4 linked regions of the Drosophila melanogaster genome follow. The protein of the gene in region 2 purifies or fractionates together with the protein of the main gene of each other region. This does not show direct contact. Each region holds a gene or a part of one and is shown on either strand. Other genes may lie near its edges. The genes, in order: CG11777, CG1532, CG18789 and SdhA.

Region 1 (6,931 bases), on a different chromosome or scaffold from region 2:
TCTCGTAAATAATTATTAATCGAATACTCATACGGTAGCGACTATAATTTACCTCCTCGATGTCGCTCAACTTTCGAATCAGCAGAGATCGCAGAACTAAATAACTAATGAAAGCAGCATTCAAGTAATAGCAACATTCGATCATATAGTACAGCATAGTGTTAACCGCATTATATCGAATAAACTTTTTCATATTTTCAATACTAAATGGAATAGAATGGAACGGAAATGGAATCAAACATAATTCATATTTTTCTAAAGCTCATACACCTCTTTGCTCCACACACACCCACATAACTCATAAAATCGCAAGTCGCACCACTACTAAAATTACTTTAATAGCAGTTAAAACATTTATAAGTGAAATCCATAAAGAGCTATAACAACGGTAATGTGAATTACTTCGAATCAAATGTCCAAGGACATTCAGACACACGATTTTTTGTGAGTGGCGAATACCAAACTTTGGGATTTTAAGAGGAGCTGGAGGAAAGACGAGATGGCCAGTGGAACCAAGAGTATAGGTTAGACAAAGTTTAGACATTGTATCTAATCTAATTTGTAGCCTAATTATAAATGCTTTGGTTGTCCCATGCAACAGATCAGATTTGTTTAACTATTTATATACTTACCTATATTAACGTATGTGGAAATATAATTCTCCTCAATTCTTGAGCTCCTTTCCTCTCTCTAATGACCACATGGATGAAGTGTAGCTAATGGCCCATGGAAAATTTTTAAAATGAGTTTGAGGCGAGCCACGGAAGCTAACTAAGCTCGAACATGATGAATGAATTTGAATCGTTGAATTAAAAATTTAAAATAATATATAAAACATAAAAATAATGATATAAAAAACTGAAGTAAACCAAAATGTTTGTATGTAAAAGAAACTCAAAACGTTAGAGATCATCTACAATTTAAATAAATATAAATAAAACCAAGCAAGTTTGTTGTTTCTGAATGAAAAGATAGACCCATCTACTGGGTCCGAAAATACATCACTGGCGACGGCAGTCCACGTAGTGACGAAGCGCGCTAGGACAGATTGCATGGCACGACTTTCAAACAATTTTAAGAATCAGGAGGAAAAGTGGTGAAAAAGTAAAGGGGAAAATTAAAAAATTTGGTGCCACTTATTAGTCACGGAAAAGTAAAAAATCTGTTTTCGTCGCAATTTTGCTTGAAAATATTTAGCTGTCTGGTAATAAATGTCTTTTCACAAAGTCCTTCCAAAAAATACGTCCCCGTGCAAATTCATGGAAACTTAACTTGGGACCAGGTAGAACAACCCTCTTGAAGCATTTTTAATTTGAGGATTTCGTGGTACAGTTGACCAGTACAGTCACATAACTTATCAGATGACTTTTGTCACAGGTAGAAGAATCGTGTATGTTGATATAGGAACTACTGAAACTGTACAAACTGCAAATTACTACTGCATTTTGACTGCAATTTTCGTTTTAAAGATCCCGAAGCCAAAGCAATACAATTACCTCTAAACCTTGTGTTGCGTTTTATTGTGGAATATATTAGGAAGAATTTTGGCTATTTTTTACAATTTTGTATGGGGTATCCCCAAAGATCCCAAAAATCTTAATCTTATGAACATAAATCTGTTAAGTCTAATCTATTGCATTGTCTACTCTAAAAGTTTCTTTTTTGATTTGGGCGTGGATATGGTTCGCAAGGACACGCGACGTGGCGTCTTGTTATTCGGCGTGGATGGCCCCGATTCAGTCGGATTTTTTGGCGTTTCCTCTTGCGTATCCTCGTAGACCAGACGAATGTCCTCAGTTCGCTCGCAGGTGGCCTCGCTGGCCTCTATTACCGCTGGTTTCGTTTCGGTCTTTACAGTCTCCGGCAAGGGTTTTCGAGAATCCTTCTTTGTCGCTGGCAGGGGTGTGATGCTCTCGTCGAGGGGCCAGGCATCCATGGCCTCCTCCATTGGGACCACAGGCGAGTTCACCGGCATTTCGATGAGTACGCGTGGAGTTCTCCTCACTGCAATGGGAGTAGCTTGCTTGGCGGGTTGGCTTTTCGGCGTTAGATTAAATTGGCTGGAGCTGCCAGGAGTTCGTGGCTGGCGACGCACTTGAATTGGTGTTGCGGGTCGGGACTTCTTCTCAGGCGATTCGAACTTATCATCAGAACTGATGATCTCCTTCTCGAACACCGGAATCACTGCAAGTGCCGGCTGTGATGTCTCTGCTGGAGGCACTGCCTCTGTGCTCACCTTGCGCTTGACAGGTGATGCCACTGTTTTCTGCACTTGAGTCGTTTTTGTGTGAGTAACTTCCATTTCGTCTTTGGGCTTGCTCGATTCGCTATTCCCCTTATCCTCGGGCTTACGCGGAGCTCTGCGTATAGCAATCGGCATGGGTGCAGTCGAATTTTTACGGGGCGAACGCCTGATGGCGATGGGAGTGGGTTTCTCCTCTTCGCTAGCTTTTGTTTTGGGACTGTTCGTTTTATTCGAACTGACACTGTGCGTTGATGAATCGTTTTCAGCATCCAACTCGGGTTCCCCTACCTCTGTGATACCTGCTTCGGACGCCCTTCTAATTGTATTTGGTTTCGATTTTTCCTGCAGTGGTTTCCGTGGTTCATCCAACGATACCTTGCGCAGCTTTTGCCTCTTCTTTTTCAACACCGTTGCATTCTCTGAAGATTTTAGAACAACGCTCAGCACTGTTTCCATATCTTCATAGCAGTCGCCCAGCTCGGTTGGCTCGAAGGTAATCAGTGAGCAGTAGCCATCGGTGCTGGACACGATCAGGACGGTGCCGTCGCTCGACCAGGCCAAATCCGTAAGCCTGCTATAGTGAATGTTGGACACAATGGCAAACGGCACCGGCTGCTGGGTGTCGTAGAAAAACACAGCGTTCTTTGTGGCCACAGCATAGATCATGCGGTACGGCAGCGAAATAATCGGAGGATTCTTCTCCGCATTGTACGGTCGCAGACGGTACAGTACCGGAGAGCAGCGAACAGCCACCGCATATTCCTTGGGAAAGGGCAGCACAAAGGCGGGTTTGGACAAATCATGGCGACTAAACCCATAGCTGGTGTTTATGGGTTTCACAACACCATCGTAGTCGGTAATTCCTGACGGCGTTAACAGCAGCTTACCATCGGGTGTGAAGCATAAGCGGCGAAAGAAGGTCTGCAAGGTTCCATCTTGGTACAATCGCATGCTCTTGCCGTGCATCTCGTGGTCCTCTTTTACTGGGAGTACACATTTGCTGACTCGGTGCAGAACTCGCTTGGTATTGGCATCAAATATCCGCATTTGTCTAAAAGAAATTTAACTCCATTCGATTAAAGTTCGAACATTTTGGACTGTACTGCTTACCTATCGGTGCTCATGGTGGCGATGTATTGATTGCAGGGATCCCATGCCACGCCCTGTACATAGCCCTTGTGGTCATCTAGAATAGCCAGTGATTTGCCACTGTGCACATCCCAGAGCATCGCTGTGTTATCCACGGATCCGCTGACCAGAAACTGTGAGTTCGGCGCCCAGCTGAGATCGTAGATATCCTCGCGATGGCCGCGCAGTACCTTGAGAGTCAACCAGACCTCCTTGTCCTGTTCACTGCAGCCATCGGCGTCCACAATGTTGACAACTTCGTGGTCGGCCTTCTGTTTCCATATAAAGACAACACTCTCGTCATCGCCGGATGCCAGCAGTTCTCCGTTCGGTGACCAGCGGACAGCGTTGACGGCACGCTGATGCCGGGACAGGTCGGCGGCCAGCTCCACATCCACGCCCTCGGCGTCATCACTTCGGTTAACATACCAAATGAGGACATGGGCATCCGAACCACCAGAGGCTAGGCGGCATATCGTCGGAGAACGCAGCCCCAGGCCATTTTGCTGTATATCCACACTCAGGACAGGATCGCGGTTGTGCCACGAAATCTCGGGTATCTTGCACTTCATCCTGTTTACTTAATGTGCCGCTGTTGATTAGTTGAAGTGCGAAGAGAAAAATCACTTTATGCGGCAGAATTCGCGCCTAAAAGTGTGACCTTCGGTCACGGGAATACCAAATAGTGCTGTTTTCGATTTCTGTTATCGTTAATGGACCGATTGCATATCGAAACGAGGGCTGCACAATCACTTTTAAAATGGTAAACAAAAGTTGGAATATCTGATTTCTTACAGTTTTAACCGATTTTGTTGTGTTGTTTGCAGTCTGTAACGCTGCACACCGACGTGGGTGACCTCAAAATAGAGCTCTTCTGCGATGCCTGCCCCAAGGCCTGCGAAAATTTCCTCGCCCTGTGTGCGAGCGACTATTACAGCGGCTGCGTCTTCATCCGAAACATCAAGGGATTTATTGTCCAAACTGGAGATCCTACGAACACCGGAAAGAATGGACAGTCCATTTGGGGCCAGAAGTTCGACGACGAATTCAAGGAGACCATTAAGGTGAGCCGGCTACCTAGGTTTTACCAGAAAAACCCTCATTCAGTTGCGCCATGACAGCTGGCTTTAATACCCAGCATTCCGGCTTTAAAGGGTATATTGTATCTAATCTTAGAATGTAACCAGCACATGAATCTCAAAATGTATGTTGACATCCATATCATTTTACATTTTAATATGTCATGTGGTTGGGTTCGTTTTTCAGTCTAAAAGATTCCCAAGATACAAGAAGAAATCCTTTAATTCTTGACCACTTAATTCTTCAGCACACTGATCGAGGAATGGTTTCCATGGCCAACAACGGACCGAACGCCAATGCCAGCCAGTTCTTCATTACCTATGCCGCCCAGCCAAATCTTGACTTGAAGTACACGCTCTTTGGCCGTGTGATCGATGGATTCGATGCCCTGGATGAACTGGAGAAACTGCCCGTCAATCCCAAGAACTATCGTCCCCATGTGGACAAGAAGATCAATGGAGTAACTATACATGCCAATCCTTTGGCGACGTGATAGAGATAGAGACAAAGGCCAATCGTACGCTTAAAATGAAATATATTTATAGCACTTAAGGTTACGCGATTTCTTCGATTACAGACTAATTGATTGAGAAACATCAAATATTGTGCAAAAGTATCTAAAGACTAAATCTTAAAACCAGCCAAGTCACAATTGTTTATAAAAAATTGCATTGTTTATGTATAACTCTCACGACGACTTTTGCACTTCATTTCGAACTAGACGGATGTATCAGATGTGTTTAAAACGACCAACTAGGGGGGTAAAAACAAATGCTAACAAGAATCTCGACTACATGGACTAAACGGGATTATGTGGATTTGCCGTTTGTGAGTGATTTGGCGGGCTTCGGATGGTCCTTCATGTGCTGCTCGAACATGCTGCGAATGTCTGACAGAGCCTGCGATATGTTCTGAGCGAAGCGGTGCACATCCTGTAAAGAAAACAATTCGATTAGCTGTGCTCCATGCCATGAATCAGGGCTCCTCATTACCGTTTGCTGGCACGTAGTCTTCGCTGAGATATGGAAGAATATCAGGTTCTCTCCGGCAATAATGTACGACACACCGTAACCATCATCGGCCACGGGCCCAAAGCCGCCTCCAGCGCTGATGCAGTTCGGATGCTTCTTCAGGTCCATCTTGGGCGTCTGGCCGTGCGGAGTCTGACTAGTAGAGAGGCGCCAGGGTTCGCTGAGCACCTCGTTGAGGAAGGGTGAATCCACCTCCAGGTACTTGGAGACCACATACAGGCAGAACAGATGCCTGTCGATGCCACGACCGCACATGGCATCCTGGTAGCCCAACTGGTGACGATCGCAGGCAGCCTGCATCATCTTCACACGCTCATCGTTCTGTACAGCATGGATATATGGATTAGCCTTTGATCTAATTACATAAAATTGTAAAATCTTACGGTTGTATTTGGGTTCTGCATGGCCTTGACCCAGGCGGATGACTCAATGGTGCACGGACGCACTGTCTCAGTTCTTCCTTCGCGGAACAGACGGGTCATTGAAGCCTCATATGTCAACGAGAAGCGACCGGCATCTCGGTAGTAGGCCAACTGCAGGGCCATTTGTATGTAGGCATCTGGTGAGATGCGGCACTTCTTCATAAAGCCCTTGCCGTAATCCTGGTGCACCAGGATGCGCAGATTGACCTCGTTGATAAGCTTCGTCACATCGATGGTGGCCTCTTCGATCTGCGCCAGGCATGGTTTAAGATCCCAAGTGAGCCTAGTGGGCGTGGGTGGCTGGAACGCCGGGGTGCCCTTTGTATTACCCGTTTCGTCATATCTACAGGGTTACCAAGGGAATAGGTTAGCATTGTGGGGAGACGGTTTGTGGGCAAATTTATGGCAAGCAACGTAAATCAAAGTATTGTTAATTTTGTGTAATTGTTGTTAGTCACGAAAACAAAATAAACTAAATGTTTACTTTTGGGTTGATTACAATTTGTAAATACAGTAAATAAAGACAGTAAGGAAAGTAAGGAAAAACAACTGAAATGGCCAACATAAGCTTATATAAAATATGCTGCGTACTGATCAAACTATTCCTCATGTAATAAATTAATAATCCCTTAAAACGTGTCTGGCATTCGCATACTAGATTTTGTATGTTTCAAGTTCGTTATGCTAGTATTTACTGTATGGCGAGATCATTAAAGCTTTTAGCGCCTAGTGATCTCTCGTACTCAACCCAAAAATGACTTGAATAACTTTGCTTTGTGCTTGTGTGCATTGTAGTTAAGTGTTTACCCATAAATATCATCACCAAATATATACTCCCACAGGTGTCCCAAAACCGGTGCATCGGCCCTATAAAAAAAGTGTAGATGGTGTAAATAAATTGTTAGGCCACAACCGGAGTTAATAAAAATAATAATAATTTTTGATTGGGACAATGGGTGATAGGTGATGATAACTAAACGCAGCCAACCGAAACCGAAAAATTGCAGGCGGTATAGGAATCGAAA
Region 2 (7,916 bases):
TAGATGGCGCTAGCTGATATTCTAGAAACATAAATACATACTTCAAATTATTATTGATATATCTATAATTTATCAATTGCGAGTTCGCTATGAGTTCGAAATAACTGAAACTCACTGGTCTGCCAATCGATCGGTGCTCTGTTTGTCGGCGCCGGCATAGGAGTAGGTGGATCGATCCCCGAAGATGAGCTCCGTGTGCTCCAGCGGCTTGGCCACCGGTATGTTGAGCAGCTGGCACATGGCGCTCTTGTCGTAGGGCGTGACCCGTGTGGGCGGCAGGCGGTATCCCTCGCACAAACTGAGGGCCAGATTGTTGTACACCTCGTTCATGAACTCCGCCTTCCAGGGCATCAGTCGATTCGTCTTGATGACCACGTAGCTGCCCATCACTTCCTCCACAAACTTGCGCAGGCGCTATAATTAATGTGGTTAGTTATTTTAAACTAGCTGGTTTCGCTTTTACCTGGCATAGGTGGAATATGTAACCCACCAGCCGTAGCTCACCTTGATATCATTCCGCCCCCGCAGCACCTTAATGGTCCGCAGGATGCTCACCATGTTTCGCCTGGTTTGGTACTGGATCCGGAACAAGTTCGCATCCCGCATGCGAGCCTCTATCTGGGGATTCCGATGGAAGTACTCCTTGTACATGGGTCTCCTTGCCTGGAGCATCCGTGTGAAGGTCTTAAGGCGCTGGAACGCATACTCAAGATACTTGGTGCGGTCCGCCGAGGAGCCGAAATGATTGTCTAGAAGACAGTTGGGATGCCGGCGAAGTGTTTTCAGAAAGAAAAAATCGGTCCAGCTGCGACCCAAATAGTTCTGATAAAATATTTTGGTCTTGCGACGCCTGCGCTCTCTTTCCAGTGGGGAGAGCATCACCTCCTTGCGATCGATCCTGCTCTGGACATCACACTCCTTTCGCTCCTTGAGGATTTTCCACAGCGGCCGCCTGTCGGCCCTTCGAAGCTCCTCCTGCTGATGGGCATAGAAGCCGGGCAGCTGCGCGGAATGCTCCATGAAGAAGTTGGCCAGGCTGAAGCCCGTGCAATCCTTGAGATTCTCATCGACTACCACGAGGCGATTCTCGAAGCTCTTTAGAGCGGTGCCCGCATGCCGACGGACATTGTCGTGCAGCAGGCTCTTGTTCTCCTCAAACCGATTCAAATCGTAGAGCGCATCTCCGAGCTCCATGGACACATTTGCGTCCCACGCCTGCCTTACCTCCATGGCCCTCAAGCTATCCTCCAATGCGTCCTGCGTCAGGGCCACCGATCTCTTGAATTTGCTGCGCAGATAAAGAGCCTTGTGATCCGTGCTCTCATTCTCTGTGATGCATTTGTCGAAGTACTTCTGGGCAAAGGTGTTCTTCCGCATCCGCGCAAAGTACTGGCCCCAACTGCGGTAGATCCAACGCTGCTGCTCCGTCGGCCAGTCGAACGTTTCCCAAGACTTCAGATTTGCCACCAAAAGGCCTGCCGGCGCCGATTGACTCGAGTCCTTCATTCTGCACCAACGTCTCCTTGTCGCTCAAGTAAAAAAAAAATAAAAATAAATTCAGGAAACACCCTAAAAAAATAAATGCTACAAAAAACGAAATCGAAACCAATTTGTCTCTTCTAAAACTGAAATGAAAATGAAAGGAAAATCCCGAGCACGTTGTTAGGATCATAAAAATAATACTTAAGTACGCAATACTTAATAAAATATATGTGTTCCAAATCAAGAATACATATACTTGAAATCCTTTTCGCTAGTAAGGACCAATTAAGCGGATTTATGACCATCTGTTTGTTTAGTCGAATTAAAAACCACAATAGCTGATATCAGGATGTCTTTTCACCTCGTTTAAAGGTGTTTTTGATTGATTCAATACTAGAAAAGCTAAAATACTTCTTATAACAAAGAAAAATAAGTCCCATACGCACGCTTAATTTTATCGACAGTTTATGTAATAAAATATATGTATGTTGTAAAACAAGAACGAGCGTAGGTGATGTTTTACAATGTTTTAAAAAGTATAATATCTCCGTTGAAAACAGCCATTAACCATTAGACAATACAAAATCCAAATACAAAAGGTGCTGTGTACAAATAACAGTGCTCAAGGATTGCTGGGAAAGTCATTTCGGTTGGAAGGGATCCTTTTCGATGTTTCGATCCAGTCGCTTATCGCCATCGGACTCCACCTGAGATAGCTGGCCGAAGCCCTCCTCGTCGACAAAGCAGATCTCATGACCATCGGGGTCACCGAGAATTACCACCGTAACGGTGGCCTTTCCTGGCGTATCCAGGGTAATCAGAGGTGTTAGAATGGCCCCGCCAGCTGCTTTAACCGCTTCTTGGAGAGGTGGCTGCTGGGCCGCCGGAATGGCAAAGGCGATTCGTCCATAGGCCTTAGCTCTATTAATTGGCTCTGAGATCTGGGTGATCTCCAGTGAAGCCTGCTGTTCACCGTAACTCAAACGCACGCTTGCTTCGTTCTCCTCGAGAACTTTCAGTTGCAGCAAATCGTGCCAGTATTTGCGCGAGTTTTGAAGATTGCTCACATTAAGCTCCACCGATTGGACAGGATCAGAGCTGGCAGAGGCCTGATCGATCACATAGAACTTGTAGCCATCGGGCGAGGTCAGCAGACTACCGGCTTTTCCAGACACCTGTGTCACAGGATACGAGTGCTCGGCGGCGCGGGAAAGGATATCCTTGGAGTGTATGGTCACGCCCCCAAAATCATTGCCTGAATCGAAAAGAATAAGTATCGATTAACAGGATTTATAAGTGTTAAAATTAACTTGGGAATTAATACAAAGGGAATCATTAAGTAGTATATTTCAATTACTGTACTGTACTTTTTCAAACATCTTCAAACATTCAACTCACATACTTTCGTTTTTAGTTCATTTTGTGATAGACAGAAATCTTCATCGCGGTTTTAACTAGAATGACTGATAGATTTCGACCTACTTATAGATAACTATTTCCGTATTCATAAAGAAAAAGATTAATAACCTACTATCTTTACGTACTTAAGACAAGTCACTTATCGAATAGCTATTATTAGTGAAACACTTAATTATGAAGTTGTCGAAGATAGAATAACTCATTTGTACTTTAAGATAAGCCATCCCAATTTTACTAGTGTTAGATTAAATATTTTGGATTATAACTCGGTAATCATTTATAGGGTTGTACATTTTTTCAAATTTCCAGAAATGTGTACATATGACTGCTCAAAGCTTAAATATGCGATTTAGCCTACCATCACTGAAGTTTCAAACTTTTTCAACTCTCAATTCTTATTAAAAACGCTTTAATGCCTGATAAAATAAATAGGTATTTTAGGATGATATTACTTAGCCGCTGTAAGGGTTAAAACGTTCCCGCTTGTTAGCTTGCACTCAGGACTTTTAATCCTCATGTGAGCCTAACATTTTTATCCGGTATGTGTCTTACCCATTTCGTAGCTGCTCACTCCATAGTTATACGTGAGTTCGATGACGAAATGCGAACTTTCGGGTCCATAACCCACCATTGTTTTGCTCCACCGATTGTCATAGGGCCTGTGAAGGATTAACACTACCAGTTAGTCCTGTCGCAACACTCCGAAATAGCACTCACCCGTTGCAAGCTGCGTCGCATCCCTCCTTGAACTCCTCATGCCGCAGCACCTGTTGCCGTGCGAACGAGCGGGATGGCGATAGAAGGGAGCAAAAACGATGAGAGAAAAATGAAATTTTAACACAGTCATTATATGACATTATCGGGCATCTGGGCTTTTTAATTAGCAGCCGCGCGTCGTTGACACGTTGTCCAGATAAAACTACAGCCAGACACAACAGCCTGCGATAAGGAAGTCTGCCGATTTCTGGCGATACGCCCGCCACACCCAGCTTACCGTCATTCCCAAGATTTGCCGAAAGAAGAAGGCGTTTTTCGCCCGATCTCCGATTTTGAACACATAGTGCAGGGCGCGTCCCGATATGGCCGACATCTTTGTGTTTATCAGCTGGCGTTTATTCAGCAAGTGCTTTCCGATCGAATTTCGGCCTTGTTTATGTACATTCCGTTTCAGTGTGGCCGTGCGCAGAACAGCAAATATTCCCAGCGACGGGAGCTTTTGGAAGTATCGATATTTTTTAGTTTAGACTAAATAATAATAAATTTAAATACACTGTAAGTTTTAAATTATAAAGTGCGCTTTTTGCTGATTGACATCTACGAGGAAAAAACTAATGACTATCGCACCTTCAAAAAACGAATATCGGAATTTACCTTTTGTGACACAAAATTTTACACTTGACAAATACACTTTAAAAAAAGAGTATATCCAAAATGTTGTCACAAAAGTCCTTCCATGAAAAGCAATTATCGTCAACAGTTTTATTAGGCACTTAAAATATGGAGTAAGCGAGCATATAAAACGTATAAAATACGAAGTAAGCGAACATATAAAACTATTTAATACATTGTAGTAGCAAGGATAAAATGTCGTGAAAGTAAGATATTTAAAAATTTTCGCTAATGCGTCCTAGCCACATTTGCATGATAGTTCATTGGATATACACTACGCGTCATCAGATTAGCGCCCCCTGCATGGCTCCGTTCATTTTTATTTTCTGGTTTTGCCATTGCACGAAAATTCATCAATGTTGTTGTTTTTTGTTCACTGACATTCCCTCTCTCCTTGAGGATAAAAAAAAGGTCCTAAGGTAAGGACAACAAAATTTGTTATGCTGTTGAATTGAAAAGTTTGCTTTAAGAGGAACCCTGTTATCCCTGCAGGAAATATACAATATCATAGCATTCTATTAATGCTCATAATCATAAAATTTCAGAAAACCCGCCAGATGTCGCAACCCTATAATAAACTTTATTCAAAAGAACGAAACTTATGGAAAAAAAAAATAATGGTGGCAATAACCTTGTCTTTACCGCGGCAGATCGCAGGTCCATACTTCGAATACCTCCCAATTCCCACGACTTCTCCGCCAAAATTCGAGAAAAAGTGTTGAAAACCAGATCAAATCTTTGATTCAAATGGTGATTAAGACAGCTAAACATAAAACACGAAAAACTGAAAATAAAACCACCTCTCAATAAGTTGCGAAAAAAAGCGGGTCTGAGTTTTGCTCGAGCTCATTTGACTTGGTCTAAGGAGTGGCGTCGTATTTTCGGACAAGAAGAAATTTAATCTGGAGAAACCAGACGGCTTTTTTCATTACTATTATGATTTGCGTACATTTTGGATCGCTGTCACAGTCGGGTTATAGGTAAATTGCAGTTTTAAACACCAAAAATGAACGCAAAAGATTATAATTCAAAACTGCATTTCCCTACTTTAGAAACGTTTTTGGAAATTTAGAATGACATTTTCAAATTGACAGTGTCTCAATCCACACTGCACGTTTGGCAAAAACATGGATTCCATACTACTACCACCATACTACTACTATATAATAGATAACGTGTGGGTATGGTTGGCTAGGAAGGTATACGAGGGTGGTAAACAATATGCCACTCAAAACGAATCGTTCACCGGAATAAAACTCGATTGGTCTGCGATTACTTTGGATTACCTACAAAAAAAATATATGATTCCCTTTCCAGACGAATGTGTGAAGTCCATAATTTCCTTTAAAAATATTCTAATTTAAATATTTAAGTGTTAATCATCCCAATTTCTTTCGAAATGAATCGAACCAACTTAAATTATCTTAGGGGGCGTTATCCTGATAACCCAATTTTAATTAACCCATTTATGGATTTTTTTTTTACTTAAATAAAAATCTATAAACAAGAAACTGCATCCTATATAAATTTTACATTTATAGAATTGTTCAACGTTTGAATGAAAAGCAATTTTCAAAACTCTAGCTTTAACAGTTTTCTAAATATCTCAAATCAAAGATTTTTGCTCAAGGGGCGCTAACCTGATGTATGTAACCGGACGTATATGGATAGGTTATAGTTGATCATAAGGCTTTCGAAGGGATAGGTTTGTAGTCATGGAAATGCCCTTCCAGTCGCGCCGAGTCTTGCGATTCTGCGTCCTGCTCTATTTTGTGCTGCCATTCCGGATCGAGTGCATCTTCCTGCTCTAGCTTGCACTGACTTGCCTCCAGCGGATCCGGTTCCGGATCGTAGGACTCTTGACCTTGTTGACACTCATTTGGCCGCTGGCTTGTCTGCATGGTCACCTCATTTCGGTGGCTTTCCCTGGAGAGATCTCTCTGCCGTAGCTTTTCCCCCTTGCGGAGCTGATCCTGTTGAGCTTCCCGAGCGCCCTGCTCCTGATCGCGGTCGTGCTCCTGCTCCTGCTCCTGACTCTCCCGACTGTGCTCCCTTCGTTTTCTGTGCGTCTTTCTCGCGCGGTGCCTTCGTAGGTGCAACTCAAGGGTTTGTCGCGAAACGCAAGGCTTCTGGCAGTGAATACAGGCAAAGGGCCATTCCTCGGCTGCCTCTCCCGAGCCCGTGGATTCCGTGTGCAGCCGCTCGTGCCGCACCTGCGAGGCATGCGTGCCAAACTTTTTCTCGCAATGACCGCACTGGAACCGCCGCTGACCCTCGTGGACCACCCGAACATGCCGGCTAATGGCGCTCTTGTGGCGAAAGAGCTGCGGACACTGCTCGCACTTGAAGCGCTCCCAGGTGGGATTGTGGGTGCGCAGGTGGGTCAGTAGCTCCGTTCGGGTCACCTTGGCCACTCCACAGTGCTCGCACACGTGCTCCTTGCGCTGGGCATGACGCTTTAAATGCTCGCCCAAGGCATTCTTTGTGCTGTACTGCCGGTTGCACAGCTCGCAGATTAGGTCGCGCAGCTCCTGCTGCAGTTGCTCCAGCTGTGGATGGGCGTTGCGCATGTGGGAGCGCAGCTGCTCATATCGAGTGAAGGACTTGTCGCAGCTGCGGCACAAGAAGGGTTTCGAGTAGCCCTGATGGACGCTGCGGATGTGGGCCTCCAAGTACGGTAGCTTGTACACCTGCTTGCCGCACTGATCGCAGGCCAAGCCAGCGCGTCGTTTACTACCAGTGCCTTGGCTAAGCTGTTGCTGGCTGTTCTCGTACTCATCTGGATACTCCTCATCCTCCCGGTCGTCAAGAATCTTCTTCTGATCCTCCTGCTTCTTCGACAGATCTACCTGCTGCCCATCCGCCTGCTTTTCATGCTCTTCCTCCAGTTCATGCTCATTTTCCTCATGGTTTTCCTTGAGTCCTTCGTCCGGCGGCTCCTCCTTCACCTAGGAAAGAACTAAGAAAGTATTAATCCAGGTTTAACAAGCCGAAAAGGACATATATATCCACCCTGTCGACCGCGATGTCCACTGGCTGCCATCCGATAAGCTTCTGGCTGGATTCCCTTGCCACTTGGCGCAGCTCGTCAAAGTAGACCACCGCGTTGTGGCACAGGTTGCAGATCTCAGTGGGAAATCCATGCGGCTGCTTCAATATGTCGATGTCCAGCAACTTTTGCAGAATCGCGATGAGTCGCGGATCGGGACAGTGGGTGTCGCGGTCGCGCAGATGACGCAGGCAAATCCTGCACAGGCGCGCGAGGTCCGTAAATGTGGTGAACATCGCCACGAATCGTGCGCGTTAAAGGCAACGTTCTACGTGGAAATCCAGTTCTTTTTTCCGCCTCTTAAATTTTCCTGCTGTGATGCACACGCACCGCCAGTGTTACCAGAGGGCGACACCTGTTGCGCTGCCGTTGATCGATCACTCTTATCGATATCGTTACCAATCCAGCTTATAGGCTTTAAAAAATTCTATAAGCTTGTATATCGAAAATATTAATACTACATTAATATTATTAGAAATCGCAATGCATTTTTAATCTTAGTCATAAATTAGGGTGGATATTAACATTTCCCAATGCGAAGAATGCATCTAGTAAGATGTTTCCGGTATTACAGTTT
Region 3 (7,461 bases), on a different chromosome or scaffold from region 2:
TGAGCTCTGGTTTTAGTCCCAACAAGAATACGGGTCCGTTTCCCACGATCAAGGAGCACTTTCCGGACTTCTCGACAAGGGATATACATCGAAATTATGTGGATTGCGTTCAGTGGTTCGGCGACTTTGTCTTTTCGAAATCCTGCGAGAACTCAATTGTTTGCTGGAAGCCGGGCAAACTTTCAGAATCGTGGCATGAGATTAAGCCACAGGAGTCGGCCACCACGGTGCTGCATCACTTTGACTACAAGATGTGCGAGATCTGGTTCGTACGCTTCGCCTTCAACGCCTGGCAAAAGATTCTGGCCTTGGGCAATCAACTGGGCACAACATTTGTCTGGGAATTGGACTGCAATGATCCCAATTTAACAAAGTGTAGCCAGCTGGTTCATCCCAAAAGCAACTCCACCATCCGACAGACTTCCTTCTCCAAAGACGGTTCCATTTTAGTTTGCGTGTGCGACGACAGCACCGTGTGGCGATGGGATCGCGTCAATTAGGATGAGTGTTTCTAGGCTAAAAGAATTTTCCTTATCCTTCTAAATCCGATACCATATTTATGTAACCATAGTTATTTTCAGTGTAATGTTTACCTTCAATATTAAGTATGTTATTATGCGTAGCATTTATATACAATACTCATTGTATTGACAATTTATGTTAAATTATGTTAAATTTTTTAACATTAACCAAGATATTTATTCTATTCTATTACTTTTTTAATGATCAAATAGCTTCGCAAATATTATCATCTTATGTTGTGTGAATGGCGTGGGCTCTATCTTTAATGTTTATATTTTAACTAACTAACTTGTACACAATAAAAACTGTGAACACTAAAGATTAAAACCAATATTTTTTTAAAGGGTTCTTCAAAAATAACGGTTTTTATCTCAAATGTATCTGGTATTTTCAGCCGTTCTTTGAACGGTCACTCGAATCAGCTGCATTCATTTGTTTATATAGCAATTCGCAAACAGTTGGATTTTCCTGTTTAGTTGTTATTCCCATTACTAAAATGCTTACCGACAGAGTTCTGGCCACCAAGGAGGCGCTAGTGGTGGCTCTGGGCGACAACTGGGAGCGTTACCGGGCCAACATGAAGAATTGGTTTCGGAGCCGTTGGACTAAGGAGGAATTCGATGCGGAGTCGCGGAAAATCCTAACACCTGACAAACTGCACCTGCACAATCAGTTCCTGCTCGCCCTGCTCAACAAGATCGACGCCTTTGCTCCCCTGGAGAATCCTCCGGCCGTCCAGACCAGCAGCAGTAGTGGCAACCGAAGCAAACGGCGCAAAAGAAGTTCCCGCACCTTCGCCGAACGCCTTAATTTTGAGCTCAGCGACGTCCTGGACTTTGTAGCCGAGGACAACATGCAAATCATTCGTCCGCCAACCACGATCGGTATTCCGTCGGACCAGCAACAGCAACAGCTTCAGTCGCAGCGGTACTGCGCGCAGGAACTTTTCCTGCCCGACGCGGGATTCATTATGGGACGATTTCTGATCGGTGCCTGGGAAATCGGACTTGTCTCCGTGGACGACAATGTCGCCGAGTACGTTGCCATGGCCGTGCAAGTTCTGCTCAAGGATCTACTATCGGCAATCATCAAGAAACGAAAGCACTACAAGACCAGCGGCGAGGGAAACTTTTACTACGATGTAGGTGCTCCGTTGCGTGATCCTTCGCTGCGCAACACCGTCACCCGGCAGAAGGTCGACGACACGCCGCTGGAACTGGACAAGGAACTGAATACGGCCAACTTTATGCGGCGACAGAACGACGATGTGACCTTCCTCTCCGCCTGCGAAGAAGTGTAAGCTCCTGAATAATAATGAGATTTTCATGTGAAACACAAACTTAGGTTTTGTTTCTTTCAGCCAACCCACCGAACGCACAGTAATCACCCTCAAGGACTGCCAACTGGCCTTACGGGATCGCAACCTGATAGGCTCGCATGCCGTCTACTCTATAAACATGGAACGACTCAATATGATGATGCATTAGCTTATAAGTTCTAATTATTTTATTATATCAGCTTCTGTAAAAATATATACATTATACGCTAGTGTACCATTAAGTGTTTGGTTCAGCAAAAATTCCGTGGAGGCGGTTTGAATGGCAAGGCACCTGGTAGAAATTGATCCGCCTTGAATGCTTCGATTTCCTGCTCGTTGAGATCCTCCATGCGACTGTAAACTGAGGACTGGATTTCGTTGGTCGGTTGAGCTTGCTGCTGCTGCTGCTGCATCATTTGCTGTTGCTGTTGCATTTGAAATTGTTGTTGCTGCTGCTGCATTTGTTGCTGTTGCATCTGCTGCTGCTGATGCATTTGTTGCTGTTGCATCTGTTGCTGCTGCTGCATCTGTTGCTGCTGCTGCATCTGTTGTTGATTAGGGAATGCAGATGCTGCTGCTTGAGCAAATAATCCGGAGGCAGCTGCCTGCTGCTGCTGTTGTAGTTGCTGAGAAGCCTGAGTAAACATTCCGCCCATATTTTGGCTTGCGGCTTGGCCAAAGATTCCCGTCGACTGTGGTTGCTGCTGCTGCTGTTGGAAACCACCGAAAGGATTAGGATTCACTGGCTGAGCTTGCACCTGAACCTGCGCCTGGGCGAAAATGTTGCCCCCTTGGAAAGCTTGTGCAGCAGGCTGCAGCTGTTGCTGCTGTGGCTGTCCAAAGACACTTTGTGCACCTGTTGCCGCAGCTCCTACACCAAAAATGCTATTCCTTGCATTGGCATTGCTAATCGTTCCGCCGAAAATGCTATTGGTGTTGCTGGCTTGGCTTGTGGCATTCCCAAATATATTTCCCGCACTCAGCGTGGGCTTTCCAAAAATGGATGCAGATGTATTGGCGGCAGCCGGAGCTGCTGCAGCGAAGGGATTACTGGACTGCTGAGGGGCAGCCGACACAGTGCCGCCCTCCGGCGTCTCGTGGATCTTGATCATCATTTCCAGGACCTGCGGCGACATCTGAAGCATGGTCTTCATCTTGTTGTTAGCCTCTAGGACCTCACGGTTAAACTGTTGGCTGAACTGTTCGAATTGGTTTTGTCGTTTGGCCTCGTAACACATGAACCGCACCTCCTCGAAGGATTGGTCCTGAATAAAGTTGGGGAAATTCGCTTTGTCCTTAAAGGGTCCGTAGGCGGACAAAGGCCACATCTTGCCATTGAGGCTGGATTCCATGTCGGCTTTGAGATATTGCCTAAAATAATTAAGTTATTAGTTCATCTGCATAGTTTTAATATCAATGTACTCACTTAACATCGAAATGCTCGTTGTTGCACTTTGCGCCATAGCGGCAGGAGCCTTGTTGAAAGAACCGGCAGACAACCATATTTAAATTTGATTTTAATTTTTGCCTATTTCCTATATTTATTATTTCAAAACTGCTTCAACTTTTGTACTTTTGTTTATAATTGTCTTACTTTGCGTATTGAGTATTCTTTGAGTATTTTATGGCTCACTGAGAAAAATATACCGTGCCTATGCGCGCAATTTCGTGAATTCGTAACTTAAGTTCGCTGAATGATTAAGATAATTTTGTAAGCAAACATATTTAAGATGAAAACTGGTTTTTGAAAATATAGTTCCTTGTAAATTATACATTAAGTGCGAATATATCTGAAAAATATTGGTTTCTTGCACAGATGCTATTCATTTTTCATATGTTCAAAGAAATTCAGAAACTTGCTTCTGCATAATCGAATCAGATAATTTTAAAGTGAATTCCGGAGTCCTTTGGTATATCTCGTGCCGCCGAATACGGTCCCACTGATTGTGAAATCCGTGATAACGAATTTTAACACCAGAATTTCTAGGATTCCATCAGAATGCAAAAAGTGCTGGGACGCATCCAGGCGCAGGTCCTCCGCTCCCGGGCGACGAATGCATTAGCCAATGTGGTTAGACACGAGGCCACCTCCTCCAGGACAGCGGCTAAACCAGCCGCCACATCCAAAGGTAAGCGGATCCTCCAAGATGCACAGTTACCGCTTACCAAAATCGTATTCGTTCGTAGAATTCCGGGAGAGACAGGTGCGATTCAACATAAAGAACGAACAGACCGAGGGTAGACCACTTTACCTGGATGCCCAGGCCACCACTCCAATGGACCCACGTGTATTGGACGCTATGCTCCCCTATCTGACCAATTTCTACGGAAATCTGGTTCGTACGCTTCGCCTTCAACGCCTGGCAAAAGATTCTGGCCTTGGGCAATCAACTGGGCACAACATTTGTCTGGGAATTGGACTGCAATGATCCCAATTTAACAAAGTGTAGCCAGCTGGTTCATCCCAAAAGCAACTCCACCATCCGACAGACTTCCTTCTCCAAAGACGGTTCCATTTTAGTTTGCGTGTGCGACGACAGCACCGTGTGGCGATGGGATCGCGTCAATTAGGATGAGTGTTTCTAGGCTAAAAGAATTTTCCTTATCCTTCTAAATCCGATACCATATTTATGTAACCATAGTTATTTTCAGTGTAATGTTTACCTTCAATATTAAGTATGTTCTTATGCGTAGCATTTATATACAATACTCATTGTATTGACAATTTATGTTAAATTATGTTAAATTTTTTAACATTAACCAAGATATTTATTCTATTCTATTACTTTTTTAATGATCAAATAGCTTCGCAAATATTATCATCTTATGTTGTGTGAATGGCGTGGGCTCTATCTTTAATGTTTATATTTTAACTAACTAACTTGTACACAATAAAAACTGTGAACACTAAAGATTAAAACCAATATTTTTTTAAAGGGTTCTTCAAAAATAACGGTTTTTATCTCAAATGTATCTGGTATTTTCAGCCGTTCTTTGAACGGTCACTCGAATCAGCTGCATTCATTTGTTTATATAGCAATTCGCAAACAGTTGGATTTTCCTGTTTAGTTGTTATTCCCAATACTAAAATGCTTACCGACAGAGTTCTGGCCACCAAGGAGGCGCTAGTGGTGGCTCTGGGCGACAACTGGGAGCGTTACCGGGCCAACATGAAGAATTGGTTTCGGAGCCGTTGGACTAAGGAGGAATTCGATGCGGAGTCGCGGAAAATCCTAACACCTGACAAACTGCACCTGCACAATCAGTTCCTGCTCGCCCTGCTCAACAAGATCGACGCCTTTGCTCCCCTGGAGAATCCTCCGGCCGTCCAGACCAGCAGCAGTAGTGGCAACCGAAGCAAACGGCGCAAAAGAAGTTGCCGCACCTTCGCCGAACGCCTTAATTTTGAGCTCAGCGACGTCCTGGACTTTGTAGCCGAGGACAACATGCAAATCATTCGTCCGCCAACCACGATCGGTATTCCGTCGGACCAGCAACAGCAACAGCTTCAGTCGCAGCGGTACTGCGCGCAGGAACTTTTCCTGCCCGACGCGGGATTCATTATGGGACGATTTCTGATCGGTGCCTGGGAAATCGGACTTGTCTCCGTGGACGACAATGTCGCCGAGTACGTTGCCATGGCCGTGCAAGTTCTGCTCAAGGATCTACTATCGGCAATCATCAAGAAACGAAAGCACTACAAGACCAGCGGCGAGGGAAACTTTTACTACGATGTAGGTGCTCCGTTGCGTGATCCTTCGCTGCGCAACACCGTCACCCGGCAGAAGGTCGACGACACGCCGCTGGAACTGGACAAGGAACTGAATACGGCCAACTTTATGCGGCGACAGAACGACGATGTGACCTTCCTCTCCGCCTGCGAAGAAGTGTAAGCTCCTGAATAATAATGAGATTTTCATGTGAAACACAAACTTAGGTTTTGTTTCTTTCAGCCAACCCACCGAACGCACAGTAATCACCCTCAAGGACTGCCAACTGGCCTTACGGGATCGCAACCTGATAGGCTCGCATGCCGTCTACTCCATAAACATGGAACGACTCAATATGATGATGCATTAGCTTATAAGTTCTAATTATTTTATTATATCAGCTTCTGTAAAAATATATACATTATACGCTAGTGTACCATTAAGTGTTTGGTTCAGCAAAGATTCCGTGGAGGCGGTTTGAATGGCAAGGCACCTGGTAGAAATTGATCCGCCTTGAATGCTTCGATTTCCTGCTCGTTGAGATCCTCCATGCGACTGTAAACTGAGGACTGGATTTCGTTGGTCGGTTGAGCTTGCTGCTGCTGCTGCTGCTGCATCATTTGCTGTTGCTGTTGCATTTGAAATTGTTGTTGCTGCTGCATTTGTTGCTATTGCATCTGCTGCTGCTGATGCATTTGTTGCTGTTGCATCTGTTGCTGCTGCTGCATCTGTTGCTGCTGCTGCATCTGTTGTTGATTAGGGAATGCAGATGCTGCTGCTTGAGCAAATAATCCGGAGGCAGCTGCCTGCTGCTGCTGTTGTAGTTGCTGAGAAGCCTGAGTAAACATTCCGCCCATATTTTGGCTTGCGGCTTGGCCAAAGATTCCCGTCGACTGCGGTTGCTGCTGCTGCTGTTGGAAACCACCGAAAGGATTAGGATTCACTGGCTGAGCTTGCACCTGAACCTGCGCCTGGGCGAAAATGTTGCCCCCTTGGAAAGCTTGTGCAGCAGGCTGCAGCTGTTGCTGCTGTGGCTGTCCAAAGACACTTTGTGCACCTGTTGCCGCAGCTCCTACACCAAAAATGCTATTCCTTGCATTGGCATTGCTAATCGTTCCGCCGAAAATGCTATTGGTGTTGCTGGCTTGGCTTGTGGCATTCCCAAATATATTTCCCGCACTCAGCGTGGGCTTTCCAAAAATGGATGCAGATGTATTGGCGGCAGCCGGAGCTGCTGCAGCGAAGGGATTACTGGACTGCTGAGGGGCAGCCGACACAGTGCCGCCCTCCGGCGTCTCGTGGATCTTGATCATCATTTCCAGGACCTGCGGCGACATCTGAAGCATGGTCTTCATCTTGTTGTTAGCCTCTAGGACCTCACGGTTAAACTGTTGGCTGAACTGTTCGAATTGGTTTTGTCGTTTGGCCTCGTAACACATGAACCGCACCTCCTCGAAGGATTGGTCCTGAATAAAGTTGGGGAAATTCGCTTTGTCCTTAAAGGGTCCGTAGGCGGACAAAGGCCACATCTTGCCATTGAGGCTGGATTCCATGTCGGCTTTGAGATATTGCCTAAAATAATTAAGTTATTAGTTCATCTGCATAGTTTTAATATCAATGTACTCACTTAACATCGAAATGCTCGTTGTTGCACTTTGCGCCATAGCGGCAGGAGCCTTGTTGAAAGAACCGGCAGACAACCATATTTAAATTTGATTTTAATTTTTGCCTATTTCCTATATTTATTATTTCAAAACTGCTTCAACTTTTGTACTTTTGTTTATAATTGTCTTACTTTGCGTATTGAGTATTCTTTGAGTATTTTATGGCTCACTGAGAAAAATATACCGTGCCTATGCGCGCAATTTCGTGAATTCGTAACTTAAGTTCGCTGAATGATTAAGATAATTT
Region 4 (9,948 bases), on a different chromosome or scaffold from region 2:
TTCTTCAACTCGAACACTCACAAGCAGTAAGCTGGGTGGTAAGCGATTAGCAAGTAGAGTTGCTACATCGACAAGACAACCAGTTTTAAACAACATCATCATGCATTGAGCTAACCTCATTTGATTTACTAACCGAAGCGCAACCGATATTCTCACTGCAAATTTCTATTACGGTTCCAGGATGTCTCCACGGACGGATCCCCCAAGAAAGACAAGAAGAAGAAGAAGGGTCTGCGCACACCATCGTTTTTGAAAAAGAAGAAGGAGAAGAAGAAGGCCGAGGCCTAAGCTGACCATCAGCGTGATCCGTAGGAGTAGCAATCTTGACCAACCTCCCACCATCAGCGGGAACCGAGAAAAATAACGACAATGATACCACGAGAAAATGGAAACTTTAGCCAGATCAGCAAAAGAAGCATTATATAAAAAAAAGAGAGAGGCCTAAACAAGCAACGGATGAGCAGCTAAAATCGATCGAGATGCATCTAAGGGGAAATCCCCCTCACCCTCCCTTAATTCGCATTCACAGCTTATATCTATTATAATATAATTCTAATTTTTAATTTATACGATGGCCACGGCAACACACCCTCCCCTCCACACACACACACACACAGAGAGAGATAAATGCAATTCACACAACAATTTGTATGATAAACGAGAATGAGGTTTGCAGGTGTACACGCAATATCCGACACCGCCGCTTTGTCCTAAACAAGTAACTTGCAAATATCTTCTAGATGTATTAGCTTATAAAATAACTACGCAACACACCTTACTACATGATGACATGGTAAAGCAAATGAACAGATAAAAAAGGGTACAAATTCCCAGGCAACTCTAACGACAAACAAAGATTTGTTTGAAACAAAGGCAAACTTTTGTTTTTAGACACATACGTACAAGCGTGGTACATGCATAATACTTAAATGCAATATTTTTTTAGAAATGCAATAAATTCGATGACAACAACTACAATTTGATATTCTAGGCATGTGTGTGTTTTGTGAAAGCGCGTTTTATGTTTTTGTGTTCTTTTGTTTTGTTTTTAAATTCCGGGCAGCCACAATTTGCACACAAAACGAATAAATAATTATTGTATACATGCAGCAATTGTATTAGTTTTTTATATAAATAATTATATATTTTTATGTACGTAAAACTGTTTATACATACATATACATATATATATTTATAAAAACCAATAAATTATGAAGAAAACGAAAATCCAAAAATACACCACGCCCGCATTAAAACATGCGATTACTCTGAGGAAAGCAGAAACAACACAATCACTGAGAATGGTTGGAATTTTCCAAAAATTATCTCCAAGAATCAAATTTCAGCATTTCTTTTGTAAGTAGATGTGCTTGATTTGTAATCGCTTTTCCATTTATAATATTCAAATCGATGAATAACGAATACTGCAATTAACTATATACGACTGCCATAGCATGTAAAACTTTAAGGCACAACTTAAACGCATTTACATTTCAAATTAACTGACATAAAATTAAAACCCCGATGATTAATGCCAGATAAATCGAATGTTTCTGCTTTTCCTACCCAAACCCACCACCACATTGAAAACACTCTCTTTACAACATAATACTTGCATTGCTGAGCCTTAGACAAACAAACAAACAAAAAAAAAAAACGGCAAAATATAAAGTATAATTAAACTGATTATTTGCGCAACGACAGAAGCTTATTTCTAGCAACTTTTTTGCGTCATTAAGGCGAAAAAGTCTGTATAATTTTGTCCTTAGATTAACATTAGAAATATGTCAATATTCTCACTCTGTGCAAATAATAAAAAAACTTTTGAAAAAAGCAAACGAGAAGCCGAAAGTTTATTCATAAAATTTGTTTAGAGTGTAAGAAAATGCATATAAATATATATTTAAATTCGTATTATACACAAGAAAAAACACGACACACACGAAGAAGTAAACACGTAATAAATAAAAACTTGAAAATTGTACAAAATTCAAAAGTATTTGAAAAGAGGTTTTTTTTATTTGTATTTATTTTTTGAGTAGTCATTCCAAAAAATGTAACAATGGTTTTGCATTAAATGTTTATAATGTTTGAGAATTTAGCATATGATTTAAATCGAATTTGAATAGTATCCGGTTTTCATAAACGAGGGCCCACTGTTATTTATGTTTGTTTTTCACCGAAGTGGCATCTCTGATCAGCTGCATATATTATCGTTTCTTTGTTGTGTTTATATGTTGTGACTCAGTGCGAAACCGTGATAAAACCTGAGAATTGAAACGAAATTTAGTCGGTCACCAAAATTACAAGTGTCAAGATGTCCCTGGTTTCAGATGAGGAGTGGGTGGAGTACAAGGTAGGCCCAATATGTCCTAGCAAGCGACGCAATATTTAGAAATCACTTGATTCCACCATAGTCCAAGTTCGACAAGAACTACGAGGCAGAGGAGGATCTGATGCGTCGTAGAATCTACGCCGAGTCCAAAGCCCGGATTGAGGAACACAATCGGAAGTTCGAGAAGGGCGAAGTGACTTGGAAAATGGGAATTAATCATTTGGCTGATCTCACGCCTGAGGAATTTGCCCAGCGTTGTGGCAAAAAGGTGCCGCCAAATTAACAGAATCTCAAGTGAATCTCATTTTAAATAGACATTTTGTAAAGACACTAATCTCTCTGTAATTCTATAAATATGCATTTGAATTTTTAAATCTTTATCGTTCAACCACCCCCAAATAAACAATAAATCAGCTGTTTTGTACATTTTAAAGATTTTGGGATTTTTGTGTTCTGGCCACTTTGGCTGGGAGAAAAACAGTTCATTAGGTTTTGGTTCAATGAACGAAGGTTTATTTATCTCTACGATATATGCAAATAAATACGTACGGCTGAGATGGTAAAATTCCATTCCAAAAATATGTATGCTTGTACGCGGTATCTATATACATTTTGAACTTAAAGCGGATTAACGCCTTTCTGCGATGAACTAGTTCCGGTTCAGCGTTCATTGAGCGAGTCAGTGAACCGAACTGCAGTGCCGACGAGCGGCAGTTCACACACAACATTTGAAAGTTTGTAAACTTTTCCTTTTTCGATCACATAGACACATCGATACACGTAGTTATTTGTTTTTATTTTGTACCAACACCAAACACCCCATCTTACAAGCGCGTAAAACCTCGTTTTCGGTCCAATCTCTTGCAGAATCTTGCAGTAGAACCTCACAGCCCAGCCAAACATGTCCGGAATCATGCGTGTGCCATCGATTTTGGCCAAAAATGCAGTCGCCTCCATGGTAAGTAGTCCCCATTTTGGAAGTGAAAACCCAGGCTCCTCTGTGGCAAACGAAATGATTTAAGAGTGGTTATACAACCGGGTCTACACAGAACCCAGCCAGCCAGCTCGTGATGTGACAACAGAAAAAGACCAACGAATTGGCCAAAAACGCGCCACCCGTACTTGTGTTATGTAATTTGTGAGCAAATTGTGGGACACAGGTGCATTAAATTATTCCCTTTGCTAGATTATATTAATTTTCATATAGCGAATATCATTCCAAGCAAGTGTTCAGCAATTTTGCGGATTTTATAGTGGAAAGCTAGGTGTGCACCAGCGAGGTTATGTTATGCTGCCGCCCCGCCCCCTTCATCCATGCTCTCCTGCATCGACGATATCGTGCATTTGGGCATTTCGTGCAACAAAATGCAGTTGAAACACTTGGTTTTGGATGCACGACACGCCTTGAAAAGCTTTATAAGTACCGCTTAATCGGAAGATTCACAAAAGAGAGGATAGTAGTATATAGTAAATCAAATGATTGGCAAGCGGAGAGAGCAAGCGAGAGAGAGAGAGAGATGGAGGCACGTCACAGAACTAACAGCTGATTATACAATGGAGCTAATTGATCGCCGTGCTGATCTACCCCGCCCCCTTCCACCAAAAAACCCCGGCCGAAAAATGCCAGTTCAATTATTTCATTTGTTTATTACATAAGCAGTTATCACTGCAAGTCGCTCTTTCTGTTTTTATCAACTTATCTTGCCGACGTCACCAAAAGATACTATCTCAACTTGTATCTACACCTTTTTTTTGCATTTAAATTTAACTAACGGCCGAAAGTTTAGTTGCAACAACGTTTTGTGCACTTTCCGGTCTTAATTTTTTGGAATTTTCTGATAAGATAACACTAAGCTATTTCAGATACGTAAATAATGTGGGTATTCGTGAAACTGAAAATTTCTATTTAATTAATAGATATTGAGAAAACATTCCCTTTAAGAAATGACAACACAGGCAGTAATCTTTAAGTCTGAGTTTACGTAATTTTTTTCGCAAACGATTGTGAATTATCGTTGAATGACTAAAGCAAACAATAAGTTGATAGCTTTATTGACAACCCCGGCTTTCAACTCTGAAAATATTTTAATCTATAGATCCATTTTCTATATTTATTGCTTTGGGGATATATTTGACTTATTTTTCATGGAATATGATCCAATCCAATATGATATTTATTTATCCCAATTTATATCTTGCAGCAACGTGCCGCAGCCGTTGGAGTGCAGCGCAGTTACCACATCACACACGGCCGCCAGCAGGCCTCGGCGGCGAATCCGGACAAGATATCGAAGCAGTACCCGGTGGTGGATCACGCCTACGATGCGATCGTCGTGGGAGCAGGAGGAGCCGGCTTGCGGGCGGCTTTTGGCCTGGTGGCTGAGGGATTTCGCACGGCGGTGATCACCAAGCTTTTCCCCACCCGCTCGCACACGATCGCCGCCCAGGGCGGTATCAATGCCGCTCTCGGCAACATGGAGGAGGACGACTGGAAGTGGCACATGTACGACACGGTCAAGGGCTCCGATTGGCTGGGCGACCAGGATGCCATCCACTACATGACCCGCGAGGCGCCCAAGGCTGTCATTGAGCTGGAGAACTACGGCATGCCCTTCTCGCGTACCCAGGACGGTAAGATCTACCAGCGCGCCTTCGGTGGACAGAGTCTGAAGTTCGGCAAGGGCGGACAGGCCCATCGCTGCTGTGCTGTGGCTGATCGTACTGGTCACTCGCTGCTGCACACGCTATACGGTCAATCGCTGAGCTACGACTGCAACTACTTTGTGGAGTACTTTGCCCTGGATCTGATCTTCGAGGACGGCGAGTGCCGTGGTGTGCTGGCCCTGAACCTGGAGGATGGCACACTGCACCGATTCCGCGCTAAGAACACGGTCATTGCCACCGGTGGATATGGACGAGCATTCTTCTCCTGCACCTCGGCGCACACATGTACCGGTGACGGTACTGCTATGGTTGCACGCCAGGGACTGCCCTCTCAGGATCTGGAGTTCGTGCAGTTCCATCCTACTGGCATCTACGGCGCCGGATGTCTCATCACCGAGGGCTGCCGCGGTGAGGGTGGTTACCTGATCAACGGTAATGGTGAGCGCTTCATGGAGCGCTATGCTCCTGTGGCCAAGGATCTGGCCTCTCGCGACGTCGTCTCGCGGTCGATGACCATCGAGATCATGGAGGGTCGTGGCGCTGGACCCGAGAAGGATCACGTGTACCTGCAACTGCACCACTTGCCGCCCAAGCAGCTCGCGGAGCGTCTGCCTGGCATCTCCGAGACCGCCATGATCTTCGCCGGTGTTGATGTGACCCGTGAGCCCATCCCCGTGTTGCCCACCGTGCATTACAACATGGGCGGTGTGCCGACTAACTATCGCGGCCAGGTAATCACCATTGACAAGGATGGCAAGGATGTGATTGTGCCGGGACTGTATGCCGCTGGTGAGGCTGCTTCCAGCTCGGTGCATGGTGCCAACCGTCTGGGTGCCAACTCTCTGCTGGATCTGGTGGTCTTCGGACGTGCATGCGCCAAGACCATCGCCGAGCTGAATAAGCCTGGTGCACCGGCTCCCACCCTCAAGGAAAACGCTGGCGAGGCCTCTGTTGCTAACCTCGATAAGCTGCGCCATGCCAACGGCCAGATCACCACCGCCGATCTGCGTCTGAAGATGCAGAAGACCATGCAGCATCATGCTGCTGTGTTCCGCGATGGCCCCATCCTGCAGGACGGTGTGAACAAGATGAAGGAGATCTACAAGCAGTTCAAGGACATCAAGGTTGTCGATAGGTGAATATAAAAACAAGTATTTTTTTGATTCCCTCTAACATTCCTTGACTTTAAAGGTCGCTTATCTGGAACTCCGATCTGGTGGAGACGCTGGAGCTGCAGAATCTGTTGGCCAATGCCCAGATGACTATTGTGAGCGCTGAGGCGCGCAAGGAATCGCGAGGTGCCCACGCCCGCGAGGACTTCAAGGTTCGCGAGGATGAATACGTAAGTTACTGTCGGCACTCAGCCCCTGAACTTCTTATCATGGAACAACATGTATTGCAGGATTTCAGCAAGCCCCTGGATGGTCAGCAGAAGAAGCCCATGGATCAGCACTGGCGCAAGCACACGCTCTCGTGGGTGTGCAATGACAACGGAGACATTACGCTGGACTACAGAAACGTGATCGATACCACGCTGGACAACGAAGTCTCTACTGTTCCACCAGCGATTCGCTCCTATTAAATCAAGACTTGGAGTTGCAGAACACCCGCATATACACCCCATACCATCACTCGTACGGATGTCTACTTAAACGTCTTTGTGGGCGCCAGTAAATAAATTTTGTCAAATCGCCAAATGAGCCGCAATATGCTACCAATTGGTAACTGGGAACTCGGCAGCGGTTCCGGGCATTTTGTGATGAAACGTAAATCCAGATTTTCTATACACCTATAAATCTTTCAAATCCTTATTACTACTCCGCTGATTCTACTTAGTTTCACTGTAAGCTGCCCTCCATTTGGTTACTGTTTGGTTGTCGGTTATTTACATTATTACATAAGCGAAAAATGTGTGTGAGTAGACAACGAGTTAGGTCTGAGGCGATATTGACTACGCAGCCTGTTTAGAAGCAAATGAAAACAAATCCAACTACACTTTTCTAGTATTTGTTAAACTTATTAAATTATTAAAACGAAAACGTGTAAAAACAATAAAAAAAGAACAAAAGTCGAAACGTTTGCTATACATTAAATAAATGTAATGAAGATTAAGTGCGCAACTAAATGACTTCTTCACTTAGCCGCGGAATACGTGAATTTGATTGGCCTTAACATCCAGTTGACTCAAAATATCTAAGGCAGCGGTATTGAATCCACTTGGTCCGCAAATGAGCACATAAGTACATCTTTCCGGTTGATTTTTCTGGAACAAAGGGGCTAGCAGCTCCAGCGCTATTCTTTGTGGATTATCCTCCGATTGGGAGACATAATTTGTGCAGCTGAATCTTTCGTCGTCGGTGTGTAGTTCATGGAGTTTCTCCTTTAACCAGATATCCTCATTGGTTTTGTTAAAGTACAATAATTGTAAGCTTTCACTGTAAATGTGGGAAATAAGTAAGTTTTTTTCGGGACTGATTTTTAAGAACTTACATTCGGTTTGTATTTCTCTTCAAGATGGGCTGAATTAGGCTCAGAATTGGCGTTAATCCGCTTCCCGCCGCTAGGAGTAGAATATTTCTATGTGCAGTGAGATCAGAGAGCTGGAAGGATCCACGTGGCGCACTCCAATGGACGCGAGATCCAGTTTCAAGCTTTTGCAGGTGACTGGAGACGGGTCCGTTCGGATACCTTTTGATCAGAAAGTGTAAGCATTCTGATCTGGATGATCTGATGTTCTCCAAACGTAGATAGGTGTGATCCACTGGTGTGTAGCTGCGCTGAATTACCCGTCCCTCTAGTGGGACTTCTATATCCACATGGTAACCAGCCGGCAGGACCATCAGAACCTTCTGCCCAACACTTTGCAGACATAGTTCAAAGGAGTCGTGATTGAAATCTTTGCTGTGAACTACTTCATACTCGAAAGTTTCATCATGTAATCGGCTAGAGTCTAATCTGTTGGACACATGTGTTCCATACGTTGGCCATGGTTCCGCTTCCTCCTTGACAAAAACTAACTCAATTTTCCCCGTCTCCGAACCGATTTTCGCTAACTTTGGAGGCCATTCTACATTGTTGGTCAGTTGAAAATCAAAGCTGTGCCAATTGTGCTGGACTAGAACCCGCACACTCAGTTGCTGGAGGTCCTTCCGCCGGACAACCAGGCCTGGATTAGCCAGGCTGCGCGTGTAGAAGATCAGGGTAAGTTCGCTCCTCTGCTGAATCCAATCAAAGCGTGGCACTATTTCCGGAGGCTGCAATATCACATTGGTAATCTGTGGACTTTCCTTGGCAGGTTTTGTCTCATTATCTTTTAGTGGTCCCACGTAGCACTTTCCCAACAATTGTGGATAGTTCACCCACGCGTGCACCTCATCGAACAATTTGGTGGCATCGCGACCAACACCACGCATTAGCTCATCCACTCCGCCCGGATGAAAGTCCATGTAGCGGGTGACATTGAAGACACGACCACGAATGGCCATCCAGGCGTCGTCGATCTTGTTGTGCCGGGCCAATTCCGTTCGCGACACGGGCACCAGACGCCCTCCGGTTCCCGATAGATCCGCTCCAGAATTGCACAGCCGTATCCAGTTCATCAGGGAGTAGCCCGGCTTTAGGGCGCACTTGTTGCGCGGATTACCAGTGGCCGATCCAGAAGCGGATGATCCATTGGAGTTCAGCTTCTGTGGCGCAGTGACGGGCAACTGCAGGCCACCGCCGGATCCCGCAGGAGCCATCAATTGGGGTGGCCTCAGCGGTTGGTTACTGGCGGGTGGTTTAAGGGACGGATCGGACATGATTAGTCCAAGAAAAAGGTAATCGCGCAAAAATCAACAAGCTGTTTAGTGAGGAGTAGTGGAAGGCGAAACAGCTGTATTTTGCTTTTGGTTTCGAGAACCAGTTGCGAAGTCCAAATGAACTAGTTCCACGGATCTTGGCGGTTCTATTTAAAAATGCCACCATATAGCTTCTTTAAAGAACACTCCATTGGAGTGGGTTTAGGTTGAAAATAAATAAAAGTTTATAAGTAACTCTTACAGTAAATGATTATTGTAATCTGTTTAAATATTCTTAGATAGATAAATTTTTTTTTAATAAGATGATGGATTTACTGAAGCATTAGCTTTCCACTTGAACAACAAGCAATATTACTCTTTAAAATTTGTCGTTGAATTTTCCATAAATGAAATATTACCTAAATATTTATAACAAGAAATTTTAAATTTATTTTAATTTAATTTATTTTAACGCTTTTTTATGCTTTTAAATTTAAATTGAAATAATTGAAACTAATTAAACCATCGACGTTGGATCATAGTGCATTAACAAATTTAATTGATACCTATATCTGCGACAGTTTCTCACGCCTTTTTTTTTTTGAAACCGATAAGGAATCTTTATGATTTCAGACCCACCGCAACCAAATTGCTGTTACTGATTATATGGCTAACCGCCTGAGTGGCGTTAAAGGCCGTTTATGAGGTGCTATAATTCTTGATGAACTAACTAAATGTTTTTATGGCACTTAAAAATTGGGAACCACCCACTTTAATTTCTTCATGTGTGTGAGCACAAAGCATAGGTGAGACTTAAATTAATGCTGATTAATATTTATGTATGTATCTAATATATAATCAGAGTTGAGAAAAGGGGTTTTTTCAACACATTTTTATTAATATATACAAGAAACGATTTCATGAGTTTCATTTAATTATTGAATATAATTAAAATATGTACTTCTTATACATAGCTGGCCACTGAATACTGACAGCATAGTCGGGCAGGGAATTGGCAAGCCTGATGGACTCATCATCGCCTTTCACGTGCATGTAGTGCGCCCCGATTCCCATCTGGAAAAGTGGGACAGTGTAGACGCCATCGGCTTTCTGTTGAAATAAATACAAATGAAATATAGAATTAATAGATAATGTGATACTCGCATACCT

The links.
Region 1: the proteins of CG1532 (region 2) and CG11777 purify together in Drosophila melanogaster (affinity purification with mass spectrometry, with the first as the bait; one large-scale study listed by BioGRID). This does not show direct contact.
Region 3: the proteins of CG1532 (region 2) and CG18789 purify together in Drosophila melanogaster (affinity purification with mass spectrometry, with the first as the bait; one large-scale study listed by BioGRID). This does not show direct contact.
Region 4: the proteins of CG1532 (region 2) and SdhA purify together in Drosophila melanogaster (affinity purification with mass spectrometry, with the first as the bait; one large-scale study listed by BioGRID). This does not show direct contact.

What each region holds. Positions count from the first base shown.
Region 1 is NT_033778.4:10,464,501-10,471,431, forward strand, and holds CG11777 (uncharacterized protein), read left to right. Parts: upstream 1-4,115; 5' UTR 4,116-4,133; coding exon 4,134-4,136; intron 4,137-4,200; coding exon 4,201-4,437; intron 4,438-4,700; coding exon 4,701-4,946; 3' UTR 4,947-5,143; downstream 5,144-6,931. Other genes in the region: Caf1-105 (chromatin assembly factor 1, p105 subunit), read right to left, coding at 1,643-3,296, 3,356-3,945; whd (withered), read right to left, coding at 5,263-5,385, 5,446-5,805, 5,868-6,249.
Region 2 is NC_004354.4:21,024,285-21,032,200, forward strand, and holds CG1532 (uncharacterized protein), read right to left. Parts: upstream 4,078-7,916; 5' UTR 3,992-4,077; coding exon 3,896-3,991; intron 3,669-3,895; coding exon 3,619-3,668; intron 3,561-3,618; coding exon 3,454-3,560; intron 2,738-3,453; coding exon 2,124-2,737; 3' UTR 1,841-2,123; downstream 1-1,840. Other genes in the region: r-cup (ryder cup), read right to left, coding at 116-414, 505-1,506; CG1529 (uncharacterized protein), read right to left, coding at 5,973-7,238, 7,303-7,575.
Region 3 is NT_033779.5:11,991,975-11,999,435, forward strand, and holds CG18789 (uncharacterized protein), read right to left. Parts: upstream 3,459-7,461; 5' UTR 3,344-3,458; coding exon 3,267-3,343; intron 3,212-3,266; coding exon 2,092-3,211; 3' UTR 2,015-2,091; downstream 1-2,014. Other genes in the region: escl, read left to right, coding at 1-500; Ada1-2 (transcriptional adaptor 1-2), read left to right, coding at 1,019-1,818, 1,883-2,009; Qtzl (quetzalcoatl), read left to right, coding at 3,840-3,969, 4,028-4,269; Ada1-1 (transcriptional adaptor 1-1), read left to right, coding at 4,930-5,729, 5,794-5,920.
Region 4 is NT_033778.4:19,389,032-19,398,979, reverse strand, and holds SdhA (succinate dehydrogenase, subunit A (flavoprotein)), read left to right. Parts: upstream 1-3,008; 5' UTR 3,009-3,115; exon of another isoform or gene 3,116-3,202; 5' UTR 3,203-3,236; coding exon 3,237-3,293; intron 3,294-4,536; coding exon 4,537-6,134; intron 6,135-6,190; coding exon 6,191-6,341; intron 6,342-6,401; coding exon 6,402-6,581; 3' UTR 6,582-7,117; downstream 7,118-9,948. Other genes in the region: cer (crammer), read left to right, coding at 2,318-2,356, 2,418-2,618; CG11257 (uncharacterized protein), read right to left, coding at 7,137-7,434, 7,490-8,799; CG10081 (uncharacterized protein), read right to left, coding at 9,727-9,888, 9,947-9,948. UniProt on the Drosophila melanogaster protein: Flavoprotein (FP) subunit of succinate dehydrogenase (SDH) that is involved in complex II of the mitochondrial electron transport chain and is responsible for transferring electrons from succinate to ubiquinone (coenzyme Q).